4 linked regions of the Diceros bicornis minor genome follow. The protein of the gene in region 4 interacts with the protein of the main gene of each other region in a pairwise test. Links are inferred from orthologs where the notes say so. Each region holds a gene or a part of one and is shown on either strand. Other genes may lie near its edges.

Region 1 (7,396 bases), on a different chromosome or scaffold from region 4:
ACTGACTGATTTTGAATCCTACTGATCTACAAACTGCATGCAACTTGCCCTGCCTGGATTTCTAATGTGGGCTTCCTGTTTAGCCTGAGATGTTCAGAGGGTTGGAGACTCGGGCCACAGCAGCCTGAAGCCTGTCCATCCTCCCCTTGGTTGTTCTTGCTCAGGCCAGAGGCTCTCTGTTCAAACATTCTTTGGGAGCAGAACAATCTTCCAAGCAACTTCCAAGCAATGTGAGTCTGGAGAGAGGCGTTCTCTAGAGGTGGCTCTGTCCCTTGCCTGCTGGGTGGCATTGGGGAAGCTGCCTCTGTATCCCATCAGTGAAATGGAACACATGACATGGGTCCTCATGAGTTAGGTGGATATTTGACAACCAAGGAGAGTAGTATTATTTCTGCTGTGTTCAGATCATATCAAACATGCAGCCTCTCTGCAGGGACCACCATGCCAAAGCTGGCTGAATTTTCACATCGATGGTGGTGGATTATGTGGAAAACCGATTTCTCCACGTTGCTAGTAGCTATTTGGTGCTCCCCAGGCACTCCTTTCCTGAACTTATTCATCTGATTATTTTGGCTCCAGGCCATTATTCACTCTATCCACAAGCCATGGGCATCTCCCTTTCGCAAATACACATCCAACTCATCCTCTGCCCCCATCCATTGTTGCACTGCTCCTGAATCTTCAGGAGAGGAAGAAGAGCACCCTCCACTTACCCCACCCCATGCCAGCTCAAAGTATGTGACATCTCTGGCTCTCAGCCTTCAGTTCTCTTGGCCAGAAAGGCAAGGCCAAGCCAATTGGCATGAAGTTGGGTGTGGAAAGTTCTAGCCACAAGTACATAAGATGTAATATACTGCCTGCCAGCCAGCCAGCCTTCTGTGCCAGGGCTAGAAAAGCTGTAGGAAGCCACTTGCCTTCCTAAATTTTGTCTTGGAGGACATTATCTTGGGAAGAAGAAGCAAAGCCTCAGTTCCAGAAGCCACAATGCTAACAGGTGACCCCAGGCTTTCACTGGTATTGTGCCTTCTCTGTTCCCCTTTATGATCTTCTACATGGACACGGAGAAGTAGACCACCAGATTGGGCACTTGAGCCCTTATTTAGTTTCCTGGGAGAAATTCCTGAGTTTCAGAGTTCCTGAGTTTCAGAGTTCAGTCTATACAATGGAGCAAAAAGAACCCACTTGCCTAGTGGCCTTCAAGAATCTGGTACTATGGGATCACACAGCAGAGAGTGGAGGTCATATCCAAGTGTTTTGGAGTTATTTGCAAGAAAGCTGCACAACCAAAGCAACCTATGATCAAGGGGGTCCAGATCCTCTGAGGTACCATCAGAATTGCATGAAGCGGGGCTGGCCCCGTGGCTTAGCCATTAAGTGCGCGTGCTCCACTACCGGCGGCCCGGGTTTGGATCCCAGGCGCGTACCGACACACCACTTGTCTGGCCATGCTGAGGCCGCGTCCCACATACAGCAACGAGAAGGATGTGCAACTATGACATACAACTCTCTACTGGGGCTTTGGGGAGAAAAAGGGAAAAAAAGGAGGAGGATTGGCAATAGATGTTAGCTCAGGGCCAGTCTTTCTCAGCAAAAAGAGGAGGATTGGCATGGATGTTAGCTCAGGGCTGATCTTCATCACAAAAAAAAAAAAAAAACGAATTGCATGAAGCAAACTGTTTACTAGTTTCATACAATCCTGCATTGTTCCCACAGGCACCCAGTGCAGGCAGCAGGCTGCCACCAAGAAGGCTGGCGGTGCCCTCTTGAGGAATCCCTAGGCACTGCCAGGGATCCAGCTGGACTTGAACATTTTGCCAAGGGCACCCAGCAGAACCATTGGAAGCAGAATCACAGAAATAGGTGAAGGTGGATGGATAAAAAAGGCCCCTTGGGGACCTGGAAAGAGACCCTGTGAGGGCTGTGGGGAGGGCTCAAGAGAAGGGGGGTGAGTGGGTGCTGAGGCAGAGTGTCAGGGTGTCCAGAGTGACTACAATACACTAGATCCTGAGGAGCTGGGAACCTTAAGGCACTGGGGATAGTGAACAGGACACAGTCATCTGACCGAGGTGACTGTCCCTTTCCTGGGCATAAGAACAAGGTGGAGACAAGAAGACATGCTCCGTCAAGGAGTGTGGAGAGAGAAAAAGAAAGAAAGCGAGATGGGGATACAGAGCCACAGAGAGAAACAGACATAGAAACAGAGAGAGAGATTGAGACTTGGAGAGAAGACAAAATGAACAGTAAGGCAGTAGAGATGGAGGAAAGGAGAAGAGAAACGTGTGTTAGGGAAATGTGGTTGAAAAATTTGTATCTGTGAGTTTACGGGGAACACTTCTTTTCTTCCGAGTAGCCTGGCAGTCCCCAGAGCTACTGCTGAGAATCCAAGGGCAGATTTGTGAGAGGGTTCAGCCTGAGCGATTTCTCCTGCATGCAGAGCTGTGAAAAACCATCTCTCTCATCCCCTAAATCAGAACTCCCAAGGTTTGGACTCAGTTCCTTCTGCCATCTGAGGAACTGAGGGCACATATTTGGTGACTTCTTGCTTTTGGTCCTCCCTCTCCTGAGAGGGACAACCACCATCCAGAAGTTAATAGTTGGCACAATCCCACAACTCCACTTCCTCAGCAGGCAGAATCTATGGCTGGAGAGCAGTGCTGGCGAGGTAAGGAGTCCTGGGCCCCTCTACCATCAGTCATATGGCCTTAGTCTGGTCAGCGCTGGAAAGCTATATGGTTCTGCAAAAGGGGCAGCATTTACAGGGATCCTTTCTCTTTGGGGCTGGTGTAAAAGCAAAGGATCTAGAGTTCTAGGACTCTTGACAAACCTCAAATACTGCAGGACTCAGGACCCGAGTGGACCCACAGGGGCGTCTGCAGAGGACTCACGTATTTCCTAACAGCTAGAAATGTGTCCAAGGTCACAGCCCATAGAGAAAATTGCAAGATATAATCTTGCCTCTCTCCCCTCACAGGAAGATTCTAGGCTCTGCTCAGTACCTCCTTTCTCTCCTCTCTGATCTCAAGGCAAAGCCATAGGAAAAACTTTGGAGGGCCATACCTTCCTTCCCTGGAGTCTTCCAACAGGTACTCCTCCAGTTATATGCCAACCAGTTTCCTTACAGGCATCCATGAGAGGATGTGGGCCTCAAAGTCAAGAGAGTTGCATCTCTCTGAGGCTCCTAAAGGGATAGAGAACACTGACAAGGAGCCTAGATAGACACTGATTAAGATTCACCTCTTCTAGAAAACATTGCCAGGCTAATCCCACCTAGTACTGGGCACTCAAATACCTTTGCAGTCTTTAAAAATAACTATTATTGGTAAGGCAGTTTTCATACATTATGCCCCTGTTTTTGCTGCTTGGCCATTTTAGTCTTAGTGTTTTTGTCTCTGAGGCAAGGACTATATTTCCTTTTCCCTTCTCTCCACCCTCATTGGCACCTGCTGCTTCACCCCAACCCACTCCCTGCCTCTCACCAGCCTGTCCTCAGCTCTCTAATGACACTACATTCTCAGGATGGGATATTGACTACCTGATTCCCAGATCGTGTTCTTGACTTGTCTCAAAGTCAAGTACCCTCCTTGGAAATCCCCCACATCCCTAACTCTGACCTTTTCTTTAGGCTATTCTGTGAACCTGCACAGGTCTTGCCTCCTTTCTGGGTCTCTGTTATCCTATCTATAAAATTATTACAATTGTAGCCTCTCCCAGCTTGGTCACAATCTGTTCGTGGAATCAACAGCTTGCGTTTTGTCCTCATTCGGTGGAAACCAAGATGGATTTGGAGGAAATTATTTTAAAAAACAATTTTTTCTTCTCTAGTGTGTTTCTAGAGCTGGGGCGGGGGAGGGGTGCTTATTTGCCAAGGGATGGGGGGAGGGGAAACGTGGACAAGGCCAAGGGCAGCTAGGAGTGAGGGGTGGGATTGGGGCAGAGTTGGAAGGACTCTGGGAGATAGCAGCAAGGTTTTTGACCTGGACCCTCTCGCCAGGGCTACCACTTCCATGGCTTCTGACACTTGTGCTGCCACATCCCACACCAAATAGACCCAAGGATCAGTTGGAGGCTTCCAGGACCTCTTTTTATTTCCATCCCCAAACCACATTTCCAGATGTCTCTGCAGCAAAGTGAAACTCCATACAGGCAAGCCTTAGGGAAAAAAAAAAAGAAAAAAGAAAATGAAACAATTGGCAGTGAAAGAAAGAGAAGATAGAGTCCTTAGAGAAGGGAGTATCCCTGAGGAGGTGGAGACAAGGGGAGGAGAAGGGGAGGAGGAGAGGAGGAGGAAAGCGGGCCTGTCCCTTTAAGGGGGTTGGCTGTCAATCAGAAAGCCCTTTTCATTGCAGGAGAAGAGGACAAAGATACTCAGAGAGAAAAAGTAAAGGACAGAAGAAGGAGACTGGAGAGACCAGGATCCTTCCAGCTGAACCAAGTCAGCCGCAAAGCAGACTAGCCAGCCGGCTACAATTGGAGTCCGAGTCCCAAAGACATGGGTGAGTTGCAAAAACTTTAGCATGGAAGATTCAAGCAGGCACAAGAATTTGCAAGAGGATTTCCAACTTTGGGGTTCGGAGTTTCCAATGGTTTAAATGAGTTGTGTTTTGGCACTTTTTTTTTTTTAATTCCTTAGCACCCAATTAGATTAACTCCTTCTCTGCTGTACTGAGAATGATGCTTTATTGCCAAAGAACTCCAACAGCACGTGGGGAGTCCCACAGATCCTTGGAGAGAGTGCCCCGTGGGCTGCATGCGGTCATGTGTCCTCCTACCCCCTCACTTCCCTCTACCTTCTCTTTTCCCCTGGTTCCCAGGCCCTGGTAATGGCCAGGTCAGCTGATGTCCCTGGTTCTGCTGGAGGCAACTGAGTGTTTGCTAGCCTTCAGATGTACAAAATAACTGCTTGCTTAATACAAAATTTGGACCCTGTTTGGCATCAGAAGGAAATTGGGGAATTGGGCTAGATGGACTCAGGCTTGGCCATGGCTGAGGAGGCCAATCTCAGGTTCAAGAAATGAAAATAAAGTCCTCAATGGCTTTACCATGGGAAACGGATATGGGTAGGGGGGTGCGTGTGTGTATGTGTATGTGCACGTGTATAAGTGATCATTTCTTGCAAATATCAGACTTAGCTTTCCCGAGGACATGGCTCAGACTCTAAATCCCTGCTATGACAGGAGGCTGCTGGAATCTTAGGGCTCTTGCTGACTCAGTTGAGTATTGAGGGCTTCTCCAGGTTTCATGAACAGAGAGAAGCTATGAGGTCTGGTCTCTAGTAGTGTCTACTCAGAGCAAGGTGTGCAGAGCACGAGGGTCTTTGTCCACACAGGATGCCACAGAGTTGTGTAGACATTGCTCACATTTGGCAAAACAAGGGTAACAGTTTGAACGCATCCTAAATGAAGTGAGAATCAATTGCCCCGTGTATTCACCACCAAATGTAGCACCTAGAAAATTCCAACAACATCCACAGAAATAGGCTCTCAGTTATAATAAGCTGGTGTCAGCCTTTAAGTTGTTTCATTCTGAAACACATACATGTTCTTTGAAGCATGTATTCAGGTAGAATAATTAAGAGGGCAGAGCATGGACTAGAAATCAACACAACTAGGTTCGAATCCCAGATCTGCCAAGGTCATGAACTTCCTGACCTTGGGTTGGTCACTGTGAATTATCACTTCATCGTCGGGAAAATGGGGATAACCATAACTGCTTCGTCTACTTTCAGGGTTGTGAAAATCAAGTAATAATGATGTGGAAGTCGTTTGAAAATGGACGAGCTCTATAACAATTGTAAATCATGATAATACTGATTATTCAACAATAATGCGTGTACAGGCTGGATCTTACACTTTCCAAAGTGGTTGGGCTTTCTTTGTGTGCACTTTGTGCACTTGGCTAAGAATCATTTGAGCAATTGAGTGTGGTCAGGTGAGAGGTGAATGTTGGAGGAACTCAATTCCTGCTTTAGGTAATATCAGGAACCTTTCCTAATGTCAGGGCAGCTGATTAAGTAGGTTGTGAATTGAAAACGGAGAGGGAGTAAAGAAAGATGTTGAATATTACTTTCTCAGGGGATGAAAGCCCTGAGGAAAAGGCAGGAACAAATAAGGTGACCACAGGGAAGTCCCCTGGGGGTGGGTGATACTTGGGTCGAGTGCACATGATGGAGTAGCCACTGAGTTTTCAGTTATTTGATAACTATCTCAAATGCTTTGTAAATAATAGGCCATTTCTAACAAGATACTGACCTGTTAATCCTTCTGATGTGGAGTGTGCTGCTGTTGAACAATTGTAGTAGACAAATTAGATCACGGAATCTGGGATTGGAAGGAACTTTAGAAGCTGTCTGAGCCAACTCTCAATGCAGGAATCCCTTCTGCAACAGCCAATTAAACATTCCTACAGTCTCTGCTTGATCACCTCCAGGAATAGGGAGCTCACTACCTCAACCATGTAGAATCTCATAGGTTTGGAAGTGAAGAGGAACCCTGAATTCAGTAGTGTCTATGCAAAAGGTTTATGAGGGAAATGATAGTTCATTAAACCGTGTGCTGACTTGGGAGAGGGATGTTTCAAATGAGTCTTTGGGATAACAATGGAACCGGAAAAGAGCCAAAGAGCAGTAGCTGATTATTCTCTGCTCAGTAACACAATGCCATTACTGAACAACAAAACATTGGCTCCCTCAAGCCTGTTGTCTGAGAACACTGGCTGTTACCCTGGTAACCAGACTATGATGCTTCCCTCCAAACGTGGCTGTTTGCCGAGCAGTGTAGTTTTGGCTGGCTCAGAGTAAGTGGGGGTAGCCCAGGCCAAAAGTGTGGAGGCAGAGCAGGGGTCCAGTTTTACAAAATGCCTGAAAACTAACTGAATCCCACCATGATGACAAGAATCCTGCAAGAATGCCAGGAGCTAAAAAGAAACCAGATCCAAACCAGCATATTCACTTACTCTCTGCCTAGAGACGCTGACTGAAATGATCATGGACAGCATCCCCCTACTCCCCACCTTGGCACTGCAGAGCCAGAGGTGCTCTTGGAGACCCAGGCAGATTGGAAGGTCTGCTCTGCTTCGGGGGGCTTTTGCCCTGGCTCTGTGCTAGGAAACCCAGAAGTTTACTCAACAGCCTGTCAATTAGAACTATTCTCTCAAAGCTATCTGAGTAGTAACAAGGCCCCCAAAATGCCTGGGAGATGGGTGGGAGGGGAAATATAGTATCCAAACCCATCAAGGCAGAACCCCAGCCAGTGGTATCTTTTTCTTTGTTGATTTTTTGTGTATTATCTTGAAGCCCTGAAAATCATCCCCAGGGTATAGTTCTTGGTCTTGAAAGAAAGCAAAAGTAGAAATGCCCTCCTTGCCCACAGAACCTCAGGTCCAGAGAAGATCAAGTCAG
Region 2 (7,670 bases), on a different chromosome or scaffold from region 4:
ACCATGGATTATTATGACTCCAGTGAGGAAAGAAAACAAGATTTAAAAAAAAATTTTTTAAAGGTTCAATTTAGGAAGCACGGGCTTATACTATGACCTTCCTTGGCTCTTATTCTCCAAATATATTTATGACATTTTTAAAAGACAAGAAAGAAAATTATTTTCTCAGTTATTCTACTCTTATCCCAAATCTCCCAATCAGTCACATCCTTTTTCTCCTCCTCCACAATGAGCTTTAAAATTGAGAAGGATTTTTTAATTGTCCCTAAGACTTACTTCTGCAAGATAGTCATTCAGTACAACCTTGCCATCTTCCCCAGTTCCCCCTTTATTCACTCATCTAATCATTCATTCAATCAGTAGTTAAGAATTACTAAAAGCCAGGTTCTCTACTAGGTAAGAGTACTATAAAGAATAAACAGTGGTATGAATATGAGTTAAAGGCCCAGCTCTCAAGAAGCTGCAGTCTAGTCTAGGCAGGTACACTAAGGAACACAACACAAAGAGACAGATAACAATAGAGGCGCATGCAGAATTGTTTGGCATAAAGCAGGGAGGGCTGCACAGAAGAAAGAGTACTTTGCTGGGAATAAAGGCTGGTAAGGAGGACATTCCTACAAAAAGTAGCGGGCTTAAAATAGAACAATAGCCTGTTCACAGGACCACTGCAGCTGAACAGGCCAGAGCACAGGATACAAAGGAATGTGATAAGAGGTGAAGCTAGAAAGACAGGACCTAAAAAAGCAAACTAAGAGGTCTGGATTTTAGAGACTTCAGTTGGAGAACTCAGTCCTCCTCTTTCAAAAAAGAGCTGCCTCATACCACTACAGAAACATCTGCTAAACATCCACAGGAATTCTCAACTTTTTTTGTGCCGTGGACTTTTTTGGCAGACTGCCAAAGCCTGATGCTCTGTTCTCAGAATGTTTTTATATACATAAAATACACAGAATTCCAAATAATTTTTGTAGACACTCCACTCCTAAGGTAGTGAAGTGTAACCGTGGGCTGTGCATAGTGACTTTCTTCTGGAGAGGAAAGTAAGGAAGGGGGAAAAAAGAGTAACTCACAGTGGAGAAACCAGATGAACACCACTTCAGCCAGGTGATCAAGGTTACCAACGACAGTGATAAGTCATGTTGATACTATGTCCCCTTGATATGTGATGAAAAAGGCACTTTACCTCTCTGGTCTTCCTCTCAAAAACACATTAACCAGTTTAACCATGAGAAAAACATCAGACAAATCCCAAGTGGGGAACATTCTACAAAATATGTGACCAGTACTCTTCAAAATGGTCAGGGTAATCAAAAAAGGAAAGTCTGAGAAACTGTCACAACCAAGGGGACCAAAGGAGACATGACTACTAAATATAATCTGGAATCCTGGATGGGATCCTGGAACAGAAAAAGGACACTAGGGAAAACTGGGGAAATCTGAATAAAGTATGGGCTTTAGCTAAAAAATGTACCAATAGTGGTGCAACTGTTGTGACAAATGGGTATATCACACTAATGTAGGATGTTAACAACAGGGGAGACCAGGTGTAGAGTATACAGGAACTCTCTGTACTATATTTGCAATAATTCTGTAAATTTAGAACTGTTCTAAAATAAAACTTTTTAAAAAAATAAATAAGATGCATAGAATTAGAAAGGAAATGAATTCTACTGAAATAATTATTTTTAAAAAACAAATTTGTGATGTAATATTTGCGCTTCTTTATTAACGCATTAAATAACAATATTTACAGGCAGGTCTAATGATGGTAATTTCAAAGTAGTGATGAATGTAAACAGTATTTCAAGCTATGTGCAACAACGATAATATATGAAATGATCTGACATTGCTCTGGTGACAGTTAAACGCACCGCTGACACTTGCGCAGTTTGTGGTCTAAGGTCAAAACTGAAAAAATGCTAAATCTCATTTAGAGCCTAATGAAAATAAAGATGTAACTTTTTTCCTACCCAAGTTATCACTGAACTCTACCCATATGCTGCAAGTTAAGAATCATCATCTAACAGAAAAGAAAAAATAAATACTAACATTAAATGGACACTGTGTTGCAGGATCTCTAATAGTCACTGCACATCCTTCATCTCATTAAACCTTCAAAACAAACCCATTCCACAAAGAAGGCAGCTTCGGGAAGCTGTCTGTATAAGGTCATGTGACCAAAAATGGATTCAAACTATAGTCTGACTTCAAATGAAGATTCTGACAAAGCACCTCTAAAACATTTTCCAGACCCCAGCTGTGGAATTGTGAGGAACGTTCTACTGATTATACTGTAGTTCACCTGATGCTCCTATTCAACAACTTTCAGTTTGGACAATCAGGCTAAAACTAAAACCTAACACTTCCTACAGCTCCATTGGGACTACTAATAATAAAAAGCAGCAGCAGCAGCTAACCAAAAGGAACAATGTGAACAAAGAAGCTCCCCACTCTCCTATGCAGCTGAAAAGTCTAAATTTTGTGTCCATTTTCCAACTCTGACACACGGTTACTATCCTTCTAAGGGTGTGCACGTATGTGTGTGTGGCGCCTATGTATGCTTTTTCAGCAAATCTGCCAACATGTGAGATATCCAGGGCATATTTTACTCAGTCTAGGGCAGTTTCTTAGTTTATCCAACTAAGACTAATTCTATTTTCTTAGAACTAGAGGTGCTCACACTACAATGATCTAATCCCTAAACTTCATTTTCGAATCAATGTGTAACTGGCAGACAAACTTAAAAGCAAACTCTCTAAAAATAGTAAGTTTTCGATAATTAATCTATCTCCATCTTAAAATTTCTTAGTTGATGTATGCTACCCTATGAAATCTATATCCAAATTATTATTGTTTTTTTCTCCCACAACTTGCCAACTTATCTGGAAATTATAACTGAACAGATCCGGATTTGACTCCTCAGTCTGACCCTTAGCAGCTCTGTCATCTTTGACAAATTCCTATAAACCACTTTAGGCCTGTATTTCAAGCCTAGGTTTTGTATTGCAGTCATCATTGGCAACTGATGATAATAACAGATCCTTATTATATAAGGATTGGAAGAAAAAATGCTTGTAGAGTACTGAGCAAAATGTCAAACGTTATTCATGCAATTTCTTTAATTTGGGGTTTTACTTTTAAGTTGTAAATTTTCCCTTAGCAATGTTCACAGAAGGTCTTTGCTGAAATATTATTTTTCTGTTAGTTTTAGCTGATTCATTAAATAACGAGAGATTTTCTCTAGAGAAGGATTTTATCTTTCTTTGGAAGAAGCCAAAATCATCTCCATGTAAGGACACATGAGCAGCTGCTGCAGCGCATTTCAGTCACCCACAGGAAAGTGAAGCAGGCTGAGTTCACGTTGCAATAAGTATAAAAAAATTAAAAACTAACGAATAGCTACTCCAGATTTACAAAAGAGATTTAAGAATCAGAATTTGCAGGTGTGATGATTTAAGTAAATCTAATATACTAACAAAAAATTAGAAGAAACAGGAAAATGATGCATGGGTTTTCAAAAAAATTCTTTTCCCAGTTCTACTATAAGATAAACTGTTCTAGGAAGTTCAAAAATTTCATTCCATTTACTAAAATTTCATTTATATAATAATTTTCAGGAAAACAGCTACTGCATTAAGGCACATCCTTTTAGAAATACTATACAACTTAAATTTCCAACACATGCACACCTACTGTCAATAAAGTATCATTAACTAGGATGCCACTGATTAGGAATCTGATTATTTCTTTGTTGCTAGAAAGTCACTCTTCATACTGCTTCAGCTTATAAAAGTTTTATAAGACTTGATGGTAATTTAATGCAGCTGTTAAAAAAACCCTACATACTTAAATTTGTAAATTTTTAAAATTTTTTATTTTAATTCTGTAAACTTTTCTTAGCATGATATATATCAGTTTAAATAGGAGAATTACTATTCATAAATATATTGTTAAAGCCCTAATTAAAGAAAGCACAGGTGAATTAAATACATTTACTAGTTCTTCCTTTATAAGATAAAGCTAATTTTTTAAAATGAAAATCAGTTATTAGCCTGGTTTTCTCACACACTCTCCCTCCCCCATACACACGCAGGTATGAGGAGAGAAAACAAATAAGACAGAAAAGGTATAAAATTTGATTCTGTGAAAATGTTTAATTCTTGTCTTGCCAGAAGCTAACATTACGAAGCTGCAGTATTAAAGAAACAGTAGCAATAACAACTCAATGAAAGTTGCTTGGCTTAAGCCACTATTATTATCCTCACTCTATTAAAATTACCATTACTATAACTATTTTAGTTCTTCAGCATTATCACCACCAGTATACAAGTATTTCTAAACCTGAAGATGCATGAATCTTTCAAAACAGCTTTCTATCCCCCCAATTTACTCAAATTTTTTTCATTTATCTTCCATATACTTTTAAAAATTAAAAACAAAAAAACGAAGCACAAAGTGTTAATGACCTTTCCATACTTAAATTAAGATAAATGACGTTCAAAAAGTTTGGTTGTGATAAGACGATAGCTAACCAATCACTACTTCAGAATTCCTGTGTGACATCATAAGACCTCCCTAGAACACTTTTTCTCCTCCACCTACTTCAATTGTTCCCACAGATCTGGTAACAGAGTCAGAAAACCTTCCAGCTAAACGCAGATAACACTTCACACAACTCCGTACTCTAAATTGTGATCATCACAACGGCCAAGGTAAGAAACAGATGTCACTGATTTTGGTAATTCTTACTTTCTATAATTCAAACTTACTGTACTTTTTAAAAAGAGTTAATCATATTTTGTAAATTTCAGTTTAAAGTTAGACAATACAATAAAGTGTCTGATATGACAAAAAGCTTAATTTGTAAATAAATGCTAATTTTTTAATTTCTAAATAAAATTCAGTGGCAGTAAGAATAAGACAACTTTAAAATAAGGGTCGCATTCATTTTTGGTCCTGGTTATTGGTTTGTCATTTTCATTTAACTTTCACTTTTATTTTGCTTTTCAAAAGTGAATTTCTGCCAATTGAAATATCTTTCAATTATTTTACATATTTGGTGGTAGTGGTGATTTGATTTCTCCATGCAAAAACAATAGCTTCACTTTGTTATTTTTACTCTGCTGAGAAATGAGGATTGCGCTATTTATATCTAAAATACTATGAACAGTCGTGTGATTGTACAACATGCACATTATTGGCATGACTATTCTGATACTATCATCATGACTCTTTACAGTGAATATTAATAGAGTTTAAGAATATATAATACAAACTACTTTTAAAATGCTTTTGAAGACTTTTTTCTTATCTATAAAATCCAGTCAACTTTCACCAAACACTTGTAAAAAAAAAAATCCAAGCTTTTAATAAATTGAGTTACTTATATTAAATTCAACAGTATATCATAAATAACAAGTTCAGAAATTTTAAAATACTTGTCAAAAACACATGTAAAGTTCTAAAGTTACAAAATAGTATTTCAGAACTTTAAAAATAGACGTTACTTTGGCAGCATAAACATTCCTAAATATCTGATTTGAGTGAATCTGATAAAATGAATGTTTATTCTGCCTATTAATGAATATACTTTTATCAAGTTACTAATGAATATACTTTTATCAAGTTACTATCTTCCAGTGTTCCTCAGTTTCCTCTTCTGCATTTAAAAGGTGAGGGGGAGGAAAAAAGAAAAAAAAATGCCCAGGAATGGAGACACCACAATAAATTTTATAACTTCTGTTTGAATTCTGCTCTACTCTTGATGTTACTACAATCCTCAATTTAATATATGAAGTGTATCTTTATTCTTAAATCTCAGTCAGGGCATAAAGAACATCACATCGATTTTGTTTGACTATTTTTATTTTCCTAGCTATATGTCAAAATAAAATTTACCTCTAGAATTCTAAGTCCTTAGGACAAATGTTTACTGCTTTTTATGGATAAGAACTTTGTAACTATATAAGCAGCTTTCCTTATGGGATGCCAAAACATTTCTAATTTTTGTCTACCACTGAGGCACCCTAACTGCCTCTCAATATCTTTATATTCATAAAATGTTCTTCCTCTGCTATTACACAAAAGTCACTCAGTGTGGCTGTTTTATATGCATATTTATGCATTTTTACTAAAATACCTATCAAATTACGTTCTCACACTTCAAAAGGGATGCTCATGAGTTCTTTTATAGTATCAGAACTTCACCACATCACAAATTGCTCCAAAAAGTTGATAATTTCTAGAAAGAGCAGAAATTCTGCTATTAAAGTTATCCTTAGATAAACAATGTGTCTAGATTAATAGAAATTACATAGTTATAGTGACCGTTGTTCGAATTTCAAACATAATGCCCTAGTGTCGGACGTTATGTCCCAACTAGTTCATCTCTATCATAAGGTGAAATTTAAGTATTGTCTTTGTTTATAAAGACATGTGGTTTAAAACTAAGTGCTAAAAAAAGTGTCAGATGAAATAAAATGGAAGAAATGTGAAAGATGTTTTAATTATGAAAATTCATTATGTTTTAAACACACGAAAGAGCTAGAGTACTCTGCTTTACTAAGAAGAGTCACGTGACAATCATTTCCTAAAACTCAAGCATCAACATCATTTTAAAAGTATTTTAGTGGACATAAAGGAAAATAATATTCCAGAAAAAAATTACATTTGGCTACATATTTATACATATTGTTTCTTAATATCACTAAATTGGAGATAAGAGAATATCTGTATGAACAAAATAGTTAAAAAAAATTTTTAATGTATTAAAGTATTACATAATATATTAATTATGTAATGTACCAAATTATGTAATATATTAAAATTTTAAGTAAAAATTAAATGTACAGATTAGATTACCTCTCTAAATTAGCTAATATTTATTACCAATCCTAAAAACAAATTCCTTCCTTATTCTTGAACAATTTTCTAAATGCATTGGTGTATACAAATATTTCATTTGATGCTCTTAACTCCCTCTATGTTTGACACTATACCTCTATTTTACAATTTAGGAAACAGATGGGCAAAGGTGAATTGCCCAAGGTCACAGAGCTAGGAAATGGTGGAGGCTTGGCAGGAGCTGAGGTTTTATAACTCTTCATTTGCACATCCCATCCACTGATCAACACGGCTTAAAAATAAATCATGACATTGGCAAAGCAAAATAAATTGCAAGACCTCAAATACTGTTAAAATGGTATGTTAAAAGGCAAAGTTGGAGGATACGAACTTTAAAACCACTCCATTTCATTTAAAGTTACTTTACACACGAGGCATTACGTCCTTAGTAACCTACATAATATCCTCCTGATCATTTCAAAGCCAGGGATATAAGAAAGTTATAGATGACCACAGTTACTAAGCAATACACCCTGCAAGGCAAAACTCAAAATAACTGCACAGACTTTAAAACAATAACATGCCACAATCAATCAAGTTAATGTTTCCTTTTATTTGTTGCTTTGCTAAAATATTCATGCCTTTTATCTATTTAGCCTTGATATCTAAAATCTAGGTTAATTTCTCCTCAAAACTTTTCACAAAAACCACACTTTCATGTTTTATTCCAGTTCCATATTAAATCCTTAGCTTTCCTCAATTTCATTTCTGACGTCCTCATATTCTACCATTTAAAATATTTAACCCCATTTGTTGCGAGGTGCTTG
Region 3 (7,472 bases), on a different chromosome or scaffold from region 4:
CAGCCCCGGGCACGAGGCCTGCTCACGGGGAGTCTGCTGTGTGCATAGCTAACAATACCGCACTGGACACGTACAAATGTGCTACGAGGATACACCTCACAGTAAGTGCTCTTACCACGAGAATAAAAAAAGATGCAGTGCACGACACTGTCAATATCCTTAACGTCACTGAATCGTACTTAAAAATGGTTACAACGGTAAATTTTGTTGCAGAAAAAAAAGAACTGTTTGTTGTTATTATTGTGATCACCCCTCCCCCAACACCCCACTCAAAATAACGGAGATGTCGTAGTTTCAAAGTCCACTTTACTCAGGCAACAAAAAAGCTTAGGGCCAGAGGGAAGAGGGCAGGTGGCGGGAGGGCACAGCGCGGGTCTGGGTGGGGGCCTGGAGTCAGGACGGCGGGGAGGTGGCGGGAACTTGGCGGTGGATTCGGAGTTGTGCGAACAGCTCCCACACATCTCCAGAGGACCAGCGCCTGCAGACAGGAGGCCGGGGAGCCTGGCTTCCGCCCCCGGGGATGTTTCTCAGGCAGGCCAGGGGGGCAGGTCTGGGAGGCCCAGGTCCTTGCAGGAGGGGAAGGGGCAGACACCCGCCCGCCTCGGCCCCTGGTCAGTTGGTCTGGAGCCCAGGGCTCTGGAAGGCCGACAAGGCGATGAGGACCTGGGCGGAGTAGTAGGTGGCCATGACCACCATGCGGGCGTGGGGCAGGGGCTGGACGAATGTGTCCCAGGCCAGCACAGCATCGGAGAGCGTGAAGAGCAGGGCGCCCCAGCTGGCGCTCCCACCTCTGGCCAGGCCACGCCACAGCATGGTGGCCAGGGCCAGGGCGTAGGCCGTCAGGGGCGGCACCATGCCGGGTGAGAGGTGCAGCAGCAGGAGGCCGCAGTACGGCACCGAGGCCAGCACGATGGGCAGCAGGAGGCCTGGCCGCAGGGGAGTGAGGCCGAAGGCCCGGATGTAGAGCAAGTGGGCCACAGCAAAGGCGGCCACGCCTGGAGGAGACAGGGGTGGGGGCGCCCCGTGAACCGCCGAGTCCTGCTTCCCCAACTCAGCTCGCTGCCCAGAGCCTGAAGGACAGGACTGTGCCGGAGCACCAGCTCCTCTCCTGGCCCCAGCACCCTCATCCTCCAGGATTACTGCACCGGCCTCCGTGGTTGTCTCCCTTTTCCCCGCCCTTGGCCCGAGAGCGATTCTAAAACGCACGCTGCGTTCTGTCCTTACTCTGCTCACAGCTGCCCACCGATTGTCCATTCTGCTCAGCTCCACTCACCAGGCCACTTGGAAGACACACCGCGTGCCCCCACCCCAGGGCCTTTGCACTGGCTGGACCCTCTGCCTGGACCAGCCTTCCCCGGATGGACACAAGCTGGCTCCCGCACCCTCTTCAAGACATTATATTCTCAGCAAGGCTGTCCTCAACTGGTCTACTCACGACAGCAACCCCTAGTCCCTTGCTTTTGTTTCCCCTCCGCACCACTCACGCCTCCTAAGGGGACACTGCCTGACTCTCAGTGGAACAAGGGCTCCATGAGGACAGGGGTTTGCGTGTGTCTCGGTCACTGCTGGCCCCTGTGCCTTTCAACGCTGCCCGCTCATGGCAGGCACTCTATCGGGGAGCAGCCCCCTGCGCCCCAGACCCCTCTGTGTGGGGTCTGACAGGGGCAGTGCGGCCCCACTCACCGTAGAGGAAGGTCGCGGGCCAGAGGAGGAAGGCGTCCCCCACGGCCGAGCACAGGAGGCCCCCCTGCAGGAGCGCACTGGAGCGCACGGCCCGCAGGAGCACCACCAGGCAGAGGACAGGCAGGCACTTGACCAGGGCGCCGACCCAGGACGGTGGGGCCTCGGGGGTCCACAGAAGGAGGTAGACAGCACAGGTGAGGAAGAAGAGGCTCAGCCACCTGCCCACGTACGGCGGCTTCGGGGGACAAGGGGGCTGCTGAGTCTCTGGGGCTTACCCCAGCCCCTGAGACAAGGCTCCAAAACCCTCCTGGCCTCAGGGGCCTCAGCCAATCTCCAGCCCTTGGTGGTCAGGCCTCACCAGACCAGAACTCAGGTCTTGGGGCTTCCACCCCACCCTGACCTGGGGACCCCAGCCACGCTGCAGGGTTGGAGGAGCTGCTCAGGGACCAGGACATCCAGGCCCACAGACCCAGCCTCCCAGAAGGGAGGACCCCCCAATACCTCCAGGCTGCTTGGGTTCCCAGAAACCCAGGCCCAGTCCCTCCTACGCTGGACGGTCCTCACTTGGGCTGAGAAGCGAGACTCTTGGGGAAGCCCCTTTTTCCCGGCATCCATGTCAGCCTATAACCCCCCGAGAGTGGCTCATATGTGGGCACCAGTGGCTTTGGGGGTGGAGGGGATGGCGTGTGGTTACACGTTAACCCAAGGGGCGTCCCGTGGACTCTGGGACTGATAACAGGGCCCAGGGAGCCGCCTGGTACCCACTGATAAGGTGCCCTTCAGGACCCAGGGGTCCCTACTCTCCTCACAGGCCCCCGTCCCCGGGGGGCCGTGCCAGCCAATCAAAGGGATGGGGTGCTGGGGCAGGACGGAAACTGCCTCATCCCCTCCCCGCCATACCCCTGCGGTCTGGGCTCTGGCCTCAGCAGGGCTCCCCCAGCTCCTTCCCTGCAGCACAGACAGGCCTTGGTGGCCTCCGCCACAAACGCTTGCTGGACGAGTGCACACCAAGGAGTTGTGCGAGGTCACCGTCACCGTGCCGGCCCCCAGCTCTGGATGTCACGTACATGTCGGGCAGGCGTGCCTGGTCTGTGCCGTAACTTTCCGCGTGGAAGGCATGGACCCACTGGGTCCCCGGAAATGGTTGCCAGGACCAGGTCCCAGACAAGGCAGGCCACTCCCGGCTCCTCCTCCTGGGAGACTCCTTCCTGGTCTGAACAGAGGTGTCGCCATCCCCAGCAGAGGACAGAGGTTTGGAGCCTCCTTCCACTCTTTGAGGCTCGCACCCCAAGGCTGAGGGAGGGCCGGGGTCCTGTGGCATGGTGCGGGAGCGGCTCAGGCTCTCCCACCCCTGGGCCCAGAACCCCAGGTCTGAGCAGCAGGAGTCTTCAACTGTCTTCCTTTATTTATTTATATTTGCAATATGAAATAGAAGCTCAGCACGAACACACGCACACTCACGCCGGCTTGGGGAGAGGGAGCTGGGACAAGGTCACTTGGCAGCTGGGCTGGACCCCAGGCCCTTGGGCATGGGAGGGGGACCCCAGCCGGACCCCTGCCTCTGGGTCTACGGGAGGTGCGGGGGTCTCGGTGAGTGCATCAGGGCCCCGTGGGAATGACACCAAGGCGGACCCCCTGGGACTGGGACCCCAGCCCCCACAGAGCTGGCTGGGCCAGGCAGAGGGTCCTTTAGCTCCCAGCTCGGGTGAAAGTGCAGGGTCCGGGGCCGGGGGTGGGCAAAGGCACAGCCCGCACTCGGGCCCTCCCCGAGGTGACCTGAGCTGAGAGGCCGTCTGCACCGGAGGGCGGGGGCGTGGCGGGAGGGGAGAGGGTGCAGGGGCCCTGCTGGGACACGGTGAAGGTCCCCCCTCGCCCCTCGGCCTGGCTTCCTTCTGGCTCTCCTCCCGCCCACTCTCTCCCCCTCAACACATATATATATTTATATATATATATAATATATAATATAGGTCTCTCTCTCTCTCTCTCTCTCTCTCCTCTCTCTGTACTCGACTCTTTATCTTTATTCTGGGAGACAGACTCCGTAATTTCTTTTCTCAGTGCAGATGCGGGTGGGGGTGGGGGGCCTAGCTCCCTGCACCAGCCTCCTGGGAGTCCAGAAAGAGCGTGGGCGGGGGTGGGGTGATGGGGCAACCGGGCCATCGTGGGACCCGCCCTGCCCCCCACCCGGGCAGGTCCACATGGAGTACGGAGGACTTGGCCGCCACGGCTGGGACCAGGCAGTTACCTGGGAACCGACAGAGAGAGCCGTGTGAGGAGCCACCCACCGCCCTCCAAGCCCTACCCGCAGCCCCCAGTCCACCTGCCCCAGCCACTCACTGGGAGCCCGGGCACAGCGGCCCTCCCGGGGCAGAGCCATTGGGTATCGGAGGCGGCTCAAGGGCCTGGGCACTGTTGGGGAGAGGGCATGGAGAGGTCAGTACCTCTCCACATAATGCCTGCTGCCCACGAGGCCACCCCGTGCTCACCTCTGGCTTCGGGGGAGCCCCAAGGGCTCTGGGCTCTTCTCCCCCTCCGCGGTCTGGGGGGGCTGGTGGGCCCCAGGGGCTGGGACAGAGGTAGCAGGGTCTCTGGTTGCACTGAAGAGGGTCAGAGGGGTTACGGTACCGATGCCCTGCTGGACGCTCTCACCTCCCAGCCCATTGGGTAAGCGGTGAAGGAGCGCACAGCCAGGGGAGTCCTGCACGTCCACGGGAGCTCCACACGGGCTCAGCACACTCCCGTCCCCTTCTGGAAGCCTTCTGGCCCCTGAGGTTGAGCTCCCGGGGGCCTCTGGGCTCCAGGATCCCTCTCTTGCGCCCACGTGTGGCCATAGGCACAACCTGCAGCTGCCACGAGGCCCAAGGCAGCGGCACGGACCTGGAGTGTCCGGCAAGGGCCCTTCAGAGCAGCTCCGCAGCAGGGACAGCCCAGGGTCAGCTTCCACCCGCCTCCCCCTTGGCCAGCAGCTGGCCCCAGCTGGTCACCTGTCCAAGGAGCTGGGGGTGGAGCACGTCCCTCTGTGGGTGGCCTGGAGGTCCCCGACGCTGACCAAGGCCTGGCAGGGGGCTGTGCGGGGGAAGAGAGGCCCAGAGGCTGGAGACTCAGCAGGTTCTGTGCTGCCTCGCTCCTCAGATGGGCATGTAGAAGGCCCGGGGACGGCGGGGAAGGGCGACGGGGTGTGGAGGGCAGGGGCTCACCCGAGGGCTCCGCTACTTTGCTGCCATCTGTGGCTTCCTGAGGTGCTGAGGGGGGTGTGGGGTCCTGAGACCTGGGAGGTGAGAGAAGTAGCCCAAGGGGTGCTGGGGTCAGCACTTGAGCCCAAGGGAACCAGGACCCAGGCCAGTGCCTCCCCACCCTGCCTCCTGCCTCACCTGAGCTGCAGCGCATCACGGGCTGCAGGGCCAGCTGGGCTCTGGGCTGGGAGGTTCCAGGGCATGGCGAGGGGCCCCTGTGGGACTGGGGACCCAGGGCGAGGCTCCTCCTCCCTGGAGTCTTGGGGGCCGGTCATGGCGTCCGTAGGCACTGGCTTAAAGCTGGCTGTCCAGTTGGAGCCTGGGGTGGGGTGGGGGCAGGGTGAGCACCACAGGCAGACATCTTGCATGTGCCCACATCCCGCCCCACTCCACACGTTCACCTACCCGGAGGCTGAGGGCCGGGGCTGGGGTAAGAAGGGGGCCCGGCCCCTCTGCTGGCTGCCCGGCCATCGCCGTCCTCCTCCTCCTCCTCATCATCATCCTCCTCCTCCTCCTCCTCGCTGTCTGTGCTGCCTCCACTCCTGCCCCCAGAAACCACCCGTCAGCTGCGGTGCAGAACAGAGACACCCGTCTCCACCCTCCGACCACCCAGCACTGACACAGGCAAACATCTGTGAGGGAATGAACAGAGGTGACAAAAGGGATGGAGGGGAGGGGACAGCAGGGAAGCCACGGGAGGGCACGTCAGAGGCCCCCCAGCCCAGAGTGTGAAGACGCCTGGAGAGAGAGCCCTGCGTCCCACCACGGGAAGGCGGGCAGGAACCACGGGTGCCCATGTGGAGAGCAGCACAACCCCCAGCACCAAGGGCAGGAAAAGCCCCACAGCGGGGTCCGCACGGAACGGACCCGCCCACCACCTGGTCTGGCCTCTCAGGGGACGGCCGACCTGACACTCTTCCTCTAACTACAAACTCGGATGGACTTGTGTCCCCACCATATCCTCGGCTGAGAGCAAAGTCCGACATGCACAGCGGCTCCAATGACACCGGCTGAATGCTGACTGAGAGGCGACTCGGGAGCGGGGAGAAAGTCCGACTGGCCTGTGTCCACCCACTGGCCAACAGCTAAGCAAACTACACGGTTTCTACAACGCTGAGAGCATGCCGCTGTCACAACAGTCATCCACTACTCTAACCAGAAAGGACTATACCTACACAGAGTTAAAAATAAACTGAGACAAACAGCAAACGGGGAAGAGGAGGGAGCTTCCTAAACCTGAAAAGGGCACCTCCCAAACCCGCAACCGGCATCACACCCGCTACTACACCACACTCGACGGGGAGGACCAAGCGCTCCCCTGAGATCAGGAACACGACAAGAGGGCCGTTCTCCCCGCCTCTGGTCCAGACCGTGCTGGAGGACACTTAGGCAACAGAAAGTGAAGTCAAGTGGAAAGGAAGGAGCAAAACTCTCTCTAATTGCAGATGGCATGATCTTGTCTCTAGAAAATTCTAAGAAATCCACTAAAACGGTTAGAACTAGTGAGTTCTGCAACGGTGCAGGACACAAGATCAATGCACAAAAATCTACCATATTTCTACACACCTGTGACAATCTCAAAACGATTCTGACAAAACAATTCCATTTACAATTACACCAAAAAAAAATAAAATACTTCGGAATAAATTTAACAAAAGAAGCATAAAACTTATACTCTGAAAACTCATACAACGGGGAAAAACTGAGAGCCATTCCTCTGAGAACAAGAAAGAGACAAGGGTGCCCCCTCTCACCACTCTTATTCAACACAGTACTGGAGGTTTGGCCAGAGCAATTAGACAACAAAAATGAATAAAAGGAATCCAAATAGGCAATGAAGAAGTGAAACTCTCACTATTTGCAAATGACATGATTTTACATATAGAAAACCCTAAAGAATCCACTGGAAAACTATTAGAAATAATCAACAACTACAGCAAAGTTGCAGGGTACAAAATCAACTTACAAAAATCAGTTGCATTTCTGTATGCTGTTAACAAATTAACAAAAAGAGAACTCAAAAAGATAATCCCATTTACAATCGCAACAAAAAGAATAAAATATCTAGGAATAAATTAAACTAAGGAGGTGAAAGATCTATAGAATGAAAACTATAAGACATTACTGAAAGAAATCGATGATGACATAAAGAAATGGAAAAATATCCCATGCACATGGATTGGAAGAATAAACATAGTTAAAACGTCCATACTACCTAAAGCAATCTACAGACTCAATGCAATCCCAATCAGAATCCCAATGACATTCTTCACAGAAATAAAACAAAGAATACTAAAATTCATATGGGGCAACAAAAGACCCCAAATAGCTAAAGCAATCCTGAAAAAAAAGAACAAAGCTGGAGGCATCACAATTCCTGACTTCAAAATATACACAAAGTGGTAGTAATCAAAACGGCATGGTACTGATACAAAAACAGACACACAGATCAACGGAACAGAATTGGAAGCCCAGAAGTAAAACCACACATCTAAAGACAGCTAATCTTCGACAAAGGAGCTAAGAACATACAATGGAGAAAGGAAAGTCTCTTCA
Region 4 (7,903 bases):
CCTTAACCCCATAGAACCATAACAGAAACATAATTTAACATGTTTTAATTAAATTATTTCAGGAAGCTCTTTGTTTTTAGACCATTTCTTTCCACTAAAATAAAATTCTAATGTAGTAAGATTTGTTAAATACTCCAGTAATATGGTGTAGAACAGATCTATAATCCTAGTTTAAAAGAGAAAAATAAAAATCCACAGATAACTCAGTCACAAATCAAAACTCTGGAATTTTAAACATTAGCAAAGTTTTTTGGTTACCAGATCTCTAGTCTCAAGACTCCCTGGTGGTTTGGGCAGGTAATTTTTCTAAAGGTCCACAAATTAACATGAAGTCTCAATAACTGTATTTTTTAATCCATGCTTTCTTAGCTCCTATAGAATTCCAGGACTTTCTCCAAAATGAAAGAAGTAAAATTAAATAATCCTAACAAAAATTGTGAAATTGAAAAAATTCACCCCATCCAGCTGAGAAATGCAACTGAGCAAGGCGTCATTTTTAAAACTCAGCAGACACTAAGTATTCTAGTGTAGACTATCCCTTTCCAACTGAAACATACCTAACTGAAACATTCTAGTTTGATCTTGTGTTAACAGCTGCCCAAAACTGTTTTCACTCAGCACGTGGCACTCAAAGATAATGTACTTACAGAGGAATGCCTCCCTCTCACTCTCTCCCCACAAACACATAAACAGAGTCTGATTTTCACAATAAGTTAATTAGGCTTCCCATAAACATGTAGATAGCTCATGTAAAAGGGAGATATAAAATGCAGTTACTCTGTTCCACTTCTAGAGATATGCCAGAGAGAAATGAAAGCACACATCTACACAAAAACTGGCACATGAATGGTCACAGAAGCATTATATATAACAACCAAATAGTGGAAGTAACTGCCCATCAATTAATGCAGAAAATGTAGTATATCCACAATGGAATAGTATGTGGCCATAAAAAGGAATGATATACTGATACATGCTACATGTATGAACCCTGAAAACATTATGCCAAGTAAAAGAAGCCAGTCACAAAAAACCACATATTATATAATTCCACTTATATGAAATGTCCAGAATTGGCTACTCTATAGAGACAGAAAGTGAAACAGTGGTTGCCTAGGTAGGAGAGATGGAGGAGAGTGGGAATAAAGAATGACTGCTAATGGGTACAGGTTTCTTTTTGGGGTGATAAAAGTTGTGATGATGGTTGCACACTCTGTGAATACACTAAAAACCACTGAATTTTGCAATTGGTGAGTTGTATGGTATTAATTATATCTCAATAAAGCTATTAAAAAATCAGCTACTCTGAAAACAGCCCCCTTCTTTCAACTCTGTAATATATGTTAAGAACTCCTGGTGACCATTTATTTGGAATAAGACATGAATCAAAATCATGTTTGAAAAACAATAAAAAGCAGGATGACAGTACCAAGTGATTGTTTAAAATTTCTGTATGTCTAAGATATTTCATAACAGAAATATATTTTTAAAACAATGATTATTATTGTTGCAAATCACTTGTCCCAAAAGCTTATAAGATATACAGGAGTATATATCTTAGGTATAAGATATTTAGTAAATACTGATTAACTATTGTGCTAGTGAGCACATCTTTTCTTTACAAAACTGGTGGGACTCAACCTTACATATCCTTCAACTGAATTCAACTATTGGGGTACAGTCCTCCATAAAAAAAAACGAATCATTTGGAAAAAAATACCGAAAATAGCATTTGACCAAAGTAAAAGGATTTTCAAAATCCTTCGTGGCCTATCATCAAATAAAGAATATTTCATAATGGTTTAAATATTTTCATTTTCCAGGTGCAAATGTGCAGTGTACATTTATCCAACTGTGTACATGAGGTATAAACAGTTCACTACCTACACAAACATTTGCTTGATTTTCTGGAAGATAAAAAAAAAGAAGGTACTAGAAGGGTGTGGCAACTCATCCAAGGTCACACAACAAGTCAGGGCAGAGATCAAAATTCTGGTTCACACCAAACCTCCAGGGGAAATCTTACTGACAATTTCGCAAAAAGACTTGTTTGTTTTGCTTTACATCATAAAGAAAAGGGGCGGGGGGCACTCTGACTTTAGTTTAAAACTCCTAAAAAGAGACTCAGGTGGCTATTCTGGATAAACAAACACTAGCGCCGGGAGTGGTTAAGAACTAAACAAAGCTATCAGTCAGGAGCCTGTGAACAGGCCACATCTGTCCGATTTTCAACCTAGGTTAAAGCCTTAACTCACAAAGTCTGGGAGTTTTCCTTCATAGTCGGTTATGAAGGAAAGACACTTGGCACCTCCTTGGAATGCTAAGAGGATAAGAGTCAAAAGAGGAAACGACTTAGTGTGAACCGTAGTGCCTCCAAGGGTAAGAAGGCAGGTTTTTCCAGGGAAAAAAATAATAATAATAATGGGTATCAGAACAGCAGTGAATAAAGAATAAAAAATTTCTAACACTGTGAGAAGAAACGACTAGGACTGGCAGAGCTCATCTACAATCACTCTAAACGAATCACAAGAAAACCTTTTCCTCGATCAAAAAGAAGTCCACGTTCCCCCACCTTGTCCTAAAAATGGACGGGGTGTTCACGTGAAGGTATCTGGGCGGAAGAACAGGGGTGCAGGGCAAGGGCCCAGCCGCTACTCCTCTGGCAGCTCCCTCGGGAAGCCCGCTCAGCAACCCCCCGCGAGGGGACCACCCGAGACAGGTCCGGTGATGAAAGGACCCCGTAAGCTTCGAGAACCCTCGGGCGGAGGAGCGCGGGTACACATACACTCTCACTCGCTCACAGTCACACACTCACTCACGCGTCGTCGGAACCCCCTGGGAGCTGGTGGTTCTGCACAGACTCTGGACACCGTCCTACCCAGTGAAAATGGCCTGAGGAGCTGGGTGAGGAACCCAGCTCTTACTGCCCGGAACCCCGCTCCCCTCACCTGGCCCTGGCCCCTGCCCCAGAAGAGATGAAAGACGCGGCGGCGGCAGTTGTTTCCGACAGGGTCCCCCAGCGGCAGTCGCTGCTCCGACCCGCGGCCCTAATCTACCGCCGCCGCCATGTTGGAGGGTGAGGTCACCCCCGGCGTGCTTCCGTCACCGCCGGCGTCCGGGGGCGCCGAGGAGCGCCGGAAGGGGGCGGCTCTGTTCTCCCGAGCGGAAGCATGAGCCATAGAGGCCTGGAGGGCTCTTCGCGCAGACTTGACCCGGAAGAGCGGATCTCTCCTGGCCCGCTCTTCCCGGGAGTCGCTCAAGTCTGTGGTGCCTGCGGTGGCGGAGTCCTTTGGCGGTTGGAGAAAGGGAGGTGGGATGGTGATCTGCGAGTCGTTGTGCGGGGAGAGAGGCTGGCCGTTCCCGCGGGAAGGAGCGCTGTTACATCCACAGAACACGTTCTGTGGCTGTATTGAGTAGACCAGTATTGAGCTTAAGTGTGCGCAAGGAAGCGGTTAGATAAGTGTCAGGAGTCCCGAGAGCTGCCGAGTTCGCAGCCACTTGTGGGGAAGATGGTCCTTGGAAATTGGGAAGGATTTCCGGGGGGGGGGGGGTTAGAGAGGTCCTTCCTGGTGGAGGGCCCTGCACTATGGCGGTAAAGGGGCTCTTCAGTCGTAGCGTTTTGTTCACAGCACTTAGCACAGTGCCTGGATGAGAATGTGTGTCCGTGGATGTTTGTTCACGTGAACCCAAGCGTTCTTCGGGGGAGTCACTGAAGGTACCTAGTCCAGAGGGTACAGTATCTAAACCATGCTTTAGGAGGATCAAATCTCCCTTCCAACATGAGATAAATTGGAAGAAGGAGAGCGTTGAAGATGAGGAGTTAGAAGGCTGTTGCTAAGGAGCCAGGTCAGAAGTGATAAAAGCCTGATGAGGAGTGACTGCTGGTGGGTACAGGGTTTCTTTTGGGGGTGATGAAAACGTTCTCAAATGGATTGTGGTGACGGTTAGCACAACTCTATTAATATACTTGAAACCATTTAATTGTACACTTTAAATAGTTGAATGGTGTGGTATGTAAGTTATATCTCAATGAAACTGAAAAAAGAAGTGATAAAAACATGAACCTGATATAAGGTTGGGTGGTGGAATGGAAAAGAAGATTGGAGCTGGTGTCATAAGAGGCTTTAAGCTTCAGTGACTGAGAAAACGGTCTTGCCATTATTAGAGAAATAGGACAAAGATTTGCCAAGAAAAGGCTTAGTGAGCTAACAAACTCCCTAATAGTACCTAATAACCAGTCCATAATTAAATTTCCCCAATTGTCCAAGTAATGGCTTTTATAGTTTTTTTAAAAAATCAGGATCATGCAATACATTCGGTTGCTACCTCTTTTATTAGTCTCCTACTCTTATTTTTAATAACCTTTGGGCCGGCCCGTGGCTTAGCGGTTAAGTGTGCGCGCTCCGCTACTGGCGGCCAGGGTTTGGATCCCGGGCGCACACCAACGCACGCACTGCTTCTCCAGCCATGCTGAGGCCGCATCCTACATACGGCAACTAGAAGGATGTGCAGCTATGACATACAACTATCTACTGGAGCTTTGGGGGAAAAATAAAAATAATCTTGACTTTTTGAAGTATATTCATACAATGGAAATTACTCAGTAATAAAACAAAAATGAACCATTGATAAATGTTTGCTTTTTTTCCCTTTTTTATTTTATTTTTCAAATGTATGCCATAAGGATAGCATATAGGTCAATGGAACAGAATAGAAAGTCCAGAATGGTCAATTGATTTTCGACAGAGGTGTCAAGGCTATTCAATGGGGAAAGGGATAGTCAAGTGGTGTAAAATGCTATAGTCTTGTTACAGAAATTACTTGACTTTAATCACAGCAGTTTGTGCGTTTTTTGGTTTTTTTGACCGATCTTATGAGTGATGCAGAGTTTTAGCTTGCAGCTTGATGTGGTTATAAAATCTAAACTCTAGACTGTACTCATTCATTCTCATTCATCAATTATTTATTGAACACCTACTATCTACCATGCAGTGTGCTGGGTGCTGGCAAAAACAATGGTGAGTAGGTCAGACATCGTCCCTGTTGTGAAGCTGACATTTTCATTGGAAAGCCAGACAAAAGCCTAGAAATGAAAAGAGAAAAAAATTTAAAATTGTGGTATGTCCTGAAGTAAACAAACCAGGGGCTGGAATAGAAAATAAGGTAAAAGGGTGTTCATGAAGAGCTCTCTTGGAGGAGATATTTTAACTTGAGACCTAAAGAATGAAGAACAAGCTAAAGGGTAGGTGGAGGAAAAGAACTTCTCTGGCAAAAAAACTTGGTGTTCTCCAGGAACTGAAAAGATACCAGTAAAGCTTTGAGGTGGGGAGCCAAGGGAAGAGGAGTGATGGGGTCAGACAAGCAGGGGCCACGTCCAGCAGCGCTCAGACCCGGTGGAAGGTGTTCAGAAGGGGATAGAAGGCACGAGAGGATTATAAATTGGGAAGTGACTAGATGCCATCAAGGCTTTAAATCACTCTTGCTGCTGTGTGGAAGATGGGTTGGAAAGGGGCAAAAAGTGCAGGCACTAGAGTTTCACTACTTTCTGTTACCATTTGTTTTTTCTTTTTTTTTAAAGATTTTATTTATTTATTTTTCCCCCCCAAAGCCCCAGTAGATAGTTTTATGTCATAGCTGCACATTCTTCTAGTTGCTGTATGTGGGACGCGGCCTCAGCATGGCCGGAGAAGCCGTGCACGCCCGGGATCTGAACCCGGGCCGCCAGCATCAGAGGGCGCGCACTTAACCGCTAAGCCACAGGGCCGGCCCATGTTTTCTCTTTTTAAAATTAAATTCTCAACATTCAAAGACAGATTATTTACACTTACCTCCAGTCTCTCTTTTTGTGTACCCCCCAGCAAAAAACTCAAGAGTTAGATTATCTATTCTGCTGACTCAATGGCTAATTAAACTGCAGACTGAAGCCTCAGCTTTGGAGCAGGTGAGACAGTGAGCATACAGACCATCTCTTTGTGACTAACCTGGCAGGAATCTAGGTCAGTGATTTTGGTGAAGCCATAAGTAAATAGGCTTATCTAGGCGTGGGATTTTTGGAGTTTATCTGAAAAGCTGTTTTTTTTTTTTTTTTCTTTTTTTTTGTGAGGAAGATCAGCCCTGAGCTAACATCCGTGCTAATCCTCCTCTTTTTGCTGAGGAAGACTGGCTCTGAGCTAACATCTATTGCCAATCCTCCTCCTTTTTTTTTTCCCCAAAGCCCCAGTAGATAGTTGTATGTCATAGTTGCACATCCTTCTAGTTGCTGTATGTGGGACGTGGCCTCAGCATGGCTGGAGAAGCGGTGCGTTGGTGCGCGCCTGGGATCCGAACCCCGGGCCGCCATTAGCAGAGTGTGCGCACTTAACCACTAAGCCATGGGGCCGGCCCTGAAAAGCTGTTTTAATAAAGCTTCTTCACAAGACCTAGCTAGTATAGGAGGAAATTGGATTTGGAAAACTACCAACTAGTTAATGTTTGCGTGTACTTATAATAACTTTTTCACTCCAGAGACTGTCTCTGTGAAGCTTACCACATTCCTATCAGACAGGACCTGGCCTGTTCCCTGATGAATCAACAAAATACTGCAGAAACTAGTTGTAAAGAGCATGAACACGGGGGAGGAGAGAGGTGCACAAAAGGGGATGTGAACTATATCTGTAACACTATTTCTTTTATTTTAAAAATGAAGTCTTAAGGTAAATGTGACAAGTGTTAATTGTGATTTATGGGTAGTGGTACATGGTGCATGAATGTTTGAATTATTCTTTGTACTTTTTTAAATTTTTTAATGTCTCAAAATAATAATAAATAAATCATAAAGATCAGCACACTGCTTTCCAAAAAACAAAAGCACGTTGATCTGGACAGGACTACATCTATTCCAAACATTAATTCATAAACTATTGGACATGGGGCATTGGATTACCAGTCCCACTCCCCAACTCCTGTTATTTGCAGAACATTGTAAAAATAAATGGGAGGAGGGATTGTAATCCAGAGAAGTGAATACCACCGTATCCTAACCTAGGGATGCTAGAGGGTGGCGTAATCCTAGAAATCTGTCTTCTGGGATGGTGAAGAATGAAGTTACTAATGCAAAAACAAGAGAGAAACAAGCCTATCATCTGGTTTAGCCCAGTTGATTAGAATACTGATCAAGTTCAAGTCAACCTCGTTGTCCTTTGTCCTATTAGTTTTATTGTCTTGTGGCTGAATCCTTCCCTTATCCAACGTTACCAGTTTTCTCAAATATGTGTACCAATCTGTCGTACACTACAAAGAGTAGTATACACTAGTACAGCTGGAAAACAATTTGGCAGCCCTAAAAATGTGGCACCGTTCCCATGAAAAGAACAAAGTGACATGTGCTTTCTGATGTGAGGCACTGAGGACACAGTGTCACTCATGTAGCACTCCTCCCATAACGCATAACCGGAGTCTAACTATGAGGAAACTATCAAACAAAACCAAATGGAGAGACTTTCTACAACTGGCCTCTTCAAATGTCTGGTACTCTTCAAAAACATAACTATCAGGAAAGACGAAGTCTCAGGAACCGTTCCATATTAAAGGAGACTAAAAAGACATGATAATACAACAGGATCTTGGACTGGATCCTAGATGAGAAAAAAAAATTGCTACAAGGGATAGTGGGACATATGGCAAAATTTGAATACGGACTTGTTAGATTTCCTGAATTTGATCCATCTACACTCTTGTTATGAAACATGCTGAACTATTTATAGTCATGAATAATATATATATGGAAAGATATAGCAAATATAGCTAAATGTTAACAATTGTGAAGGGAGTTCATTGTACTATTCTTACAACTTATTATAGTTGAAATTTCTTCAAAATAAAAAGGTAATAGTAAAAATGTGTGTACCCTTTGACCCATACTTCT

What was found.
Region 1: the proteins of BCL2L13 (region 4) and PLP1 interact in binary tests that used the Homo sapiens proteins (3 or more experiments, as listed by UniProt). The two-hybrid records come from large-scale screens. The link is inferred for Diceros bicornis minor from reciprocal best matches to the Homo sapiens genes BCL2L13 and PLP1.
Region 2: the proteins of BCL2L13 (region 4) and PLN interact in binary tests that used the Homo sapiens proteins (3 or more experiments, as listed by UniProt). The two-hybrid records come from large-scale screens. The link is inferred for Diceros bicornis minor from reciprocal best matches to the Homo sapiens genes BCL2L13 and PLN.
Region 3: the proteins of BCL2L13 (region 4) and TMEM86B interact in binary tests that used the Homo sapiens proteins (3 or more experiments, as listed by UniProt). The two-hybrid records come from large-scale screens. The link is inferred for Diceros bicornis minor from reciprocal best matches to the Homo sapiens genes BCL2L13 and TMEM86B.

Annotation. Positions count from the first base shown.
Region 1 is NC_080781.1:96,811,847-96,819,242, forward strand, and holds the start of PLP1 (myelin proteolipid protein), read left to right. Parts: upstream 1-4,380; 5' UTR 4,381-4,489; coding exon 4,490-4,493; intron 4,494-7,396.
Region 2 is NC_080762.1:17,735,233-17,742,902, reverse strand, and holds the start of PLN (cardiac phospholamban), read left to right. Parts: upstream 1-4,651; 5' UTR 4,652-4,712; intron 4,713-7,670. UniProt on the Homo sapiens protein: Reversibly inhibits the activity of ATP2A2/SERCA2 in cardiac sarcoplasmic reticulum by decreasing the apparent affinity of the ATPase for Ca(2+).
Region 3 is NC_080773.1:33,243,251-33,250,722, forward strand, and holds the start of TMEM86B (lysoplasmalogenase), read right to left. Parts: upstream 3,005-7,472; coding exon 2,645-3,004; intron 2,305-2,644; coding exon 2,248-2,304; intron 1,919-2,247; coding exon 1,684-1,918; intron 996-1,683; coding exon 613-995; 3' UTR 1-612. Other genes in the region: PPP6R1 (serine/threonine-protein phosphatase 6 regulatory subunit 1), read right to left, coding at 3,925-3,928, 4,021-4,092, 4,170-4,280, 4,668-4,749, 4,881-4,951, 5,055-5,235, 5,322-5,458. UniProt on the Homo sapiens protein: Catalyzes the hydrolysis of the vinyl ether bond of choline or ethanolamine lysoplasmalogens, forming fatty aldehyde and glycerophosphocholine or glycerophosphoethanolamine, respectively and is specific for the sn-2-deacylated (lyso) form of plasmalogen.
Region 4 is NC_080756.1:61,801,473-61,809,375, reverse strand, and holds the start of BCL2L13 (bcl-2-like protein 13), read right to left. Parts: upstream 3,018-7,903; 5' UTR 2,949-3,017; intron 1-2,948. UniProt on the Homo sapiens protein: May promote the activation of caspase-3 and apoptosis.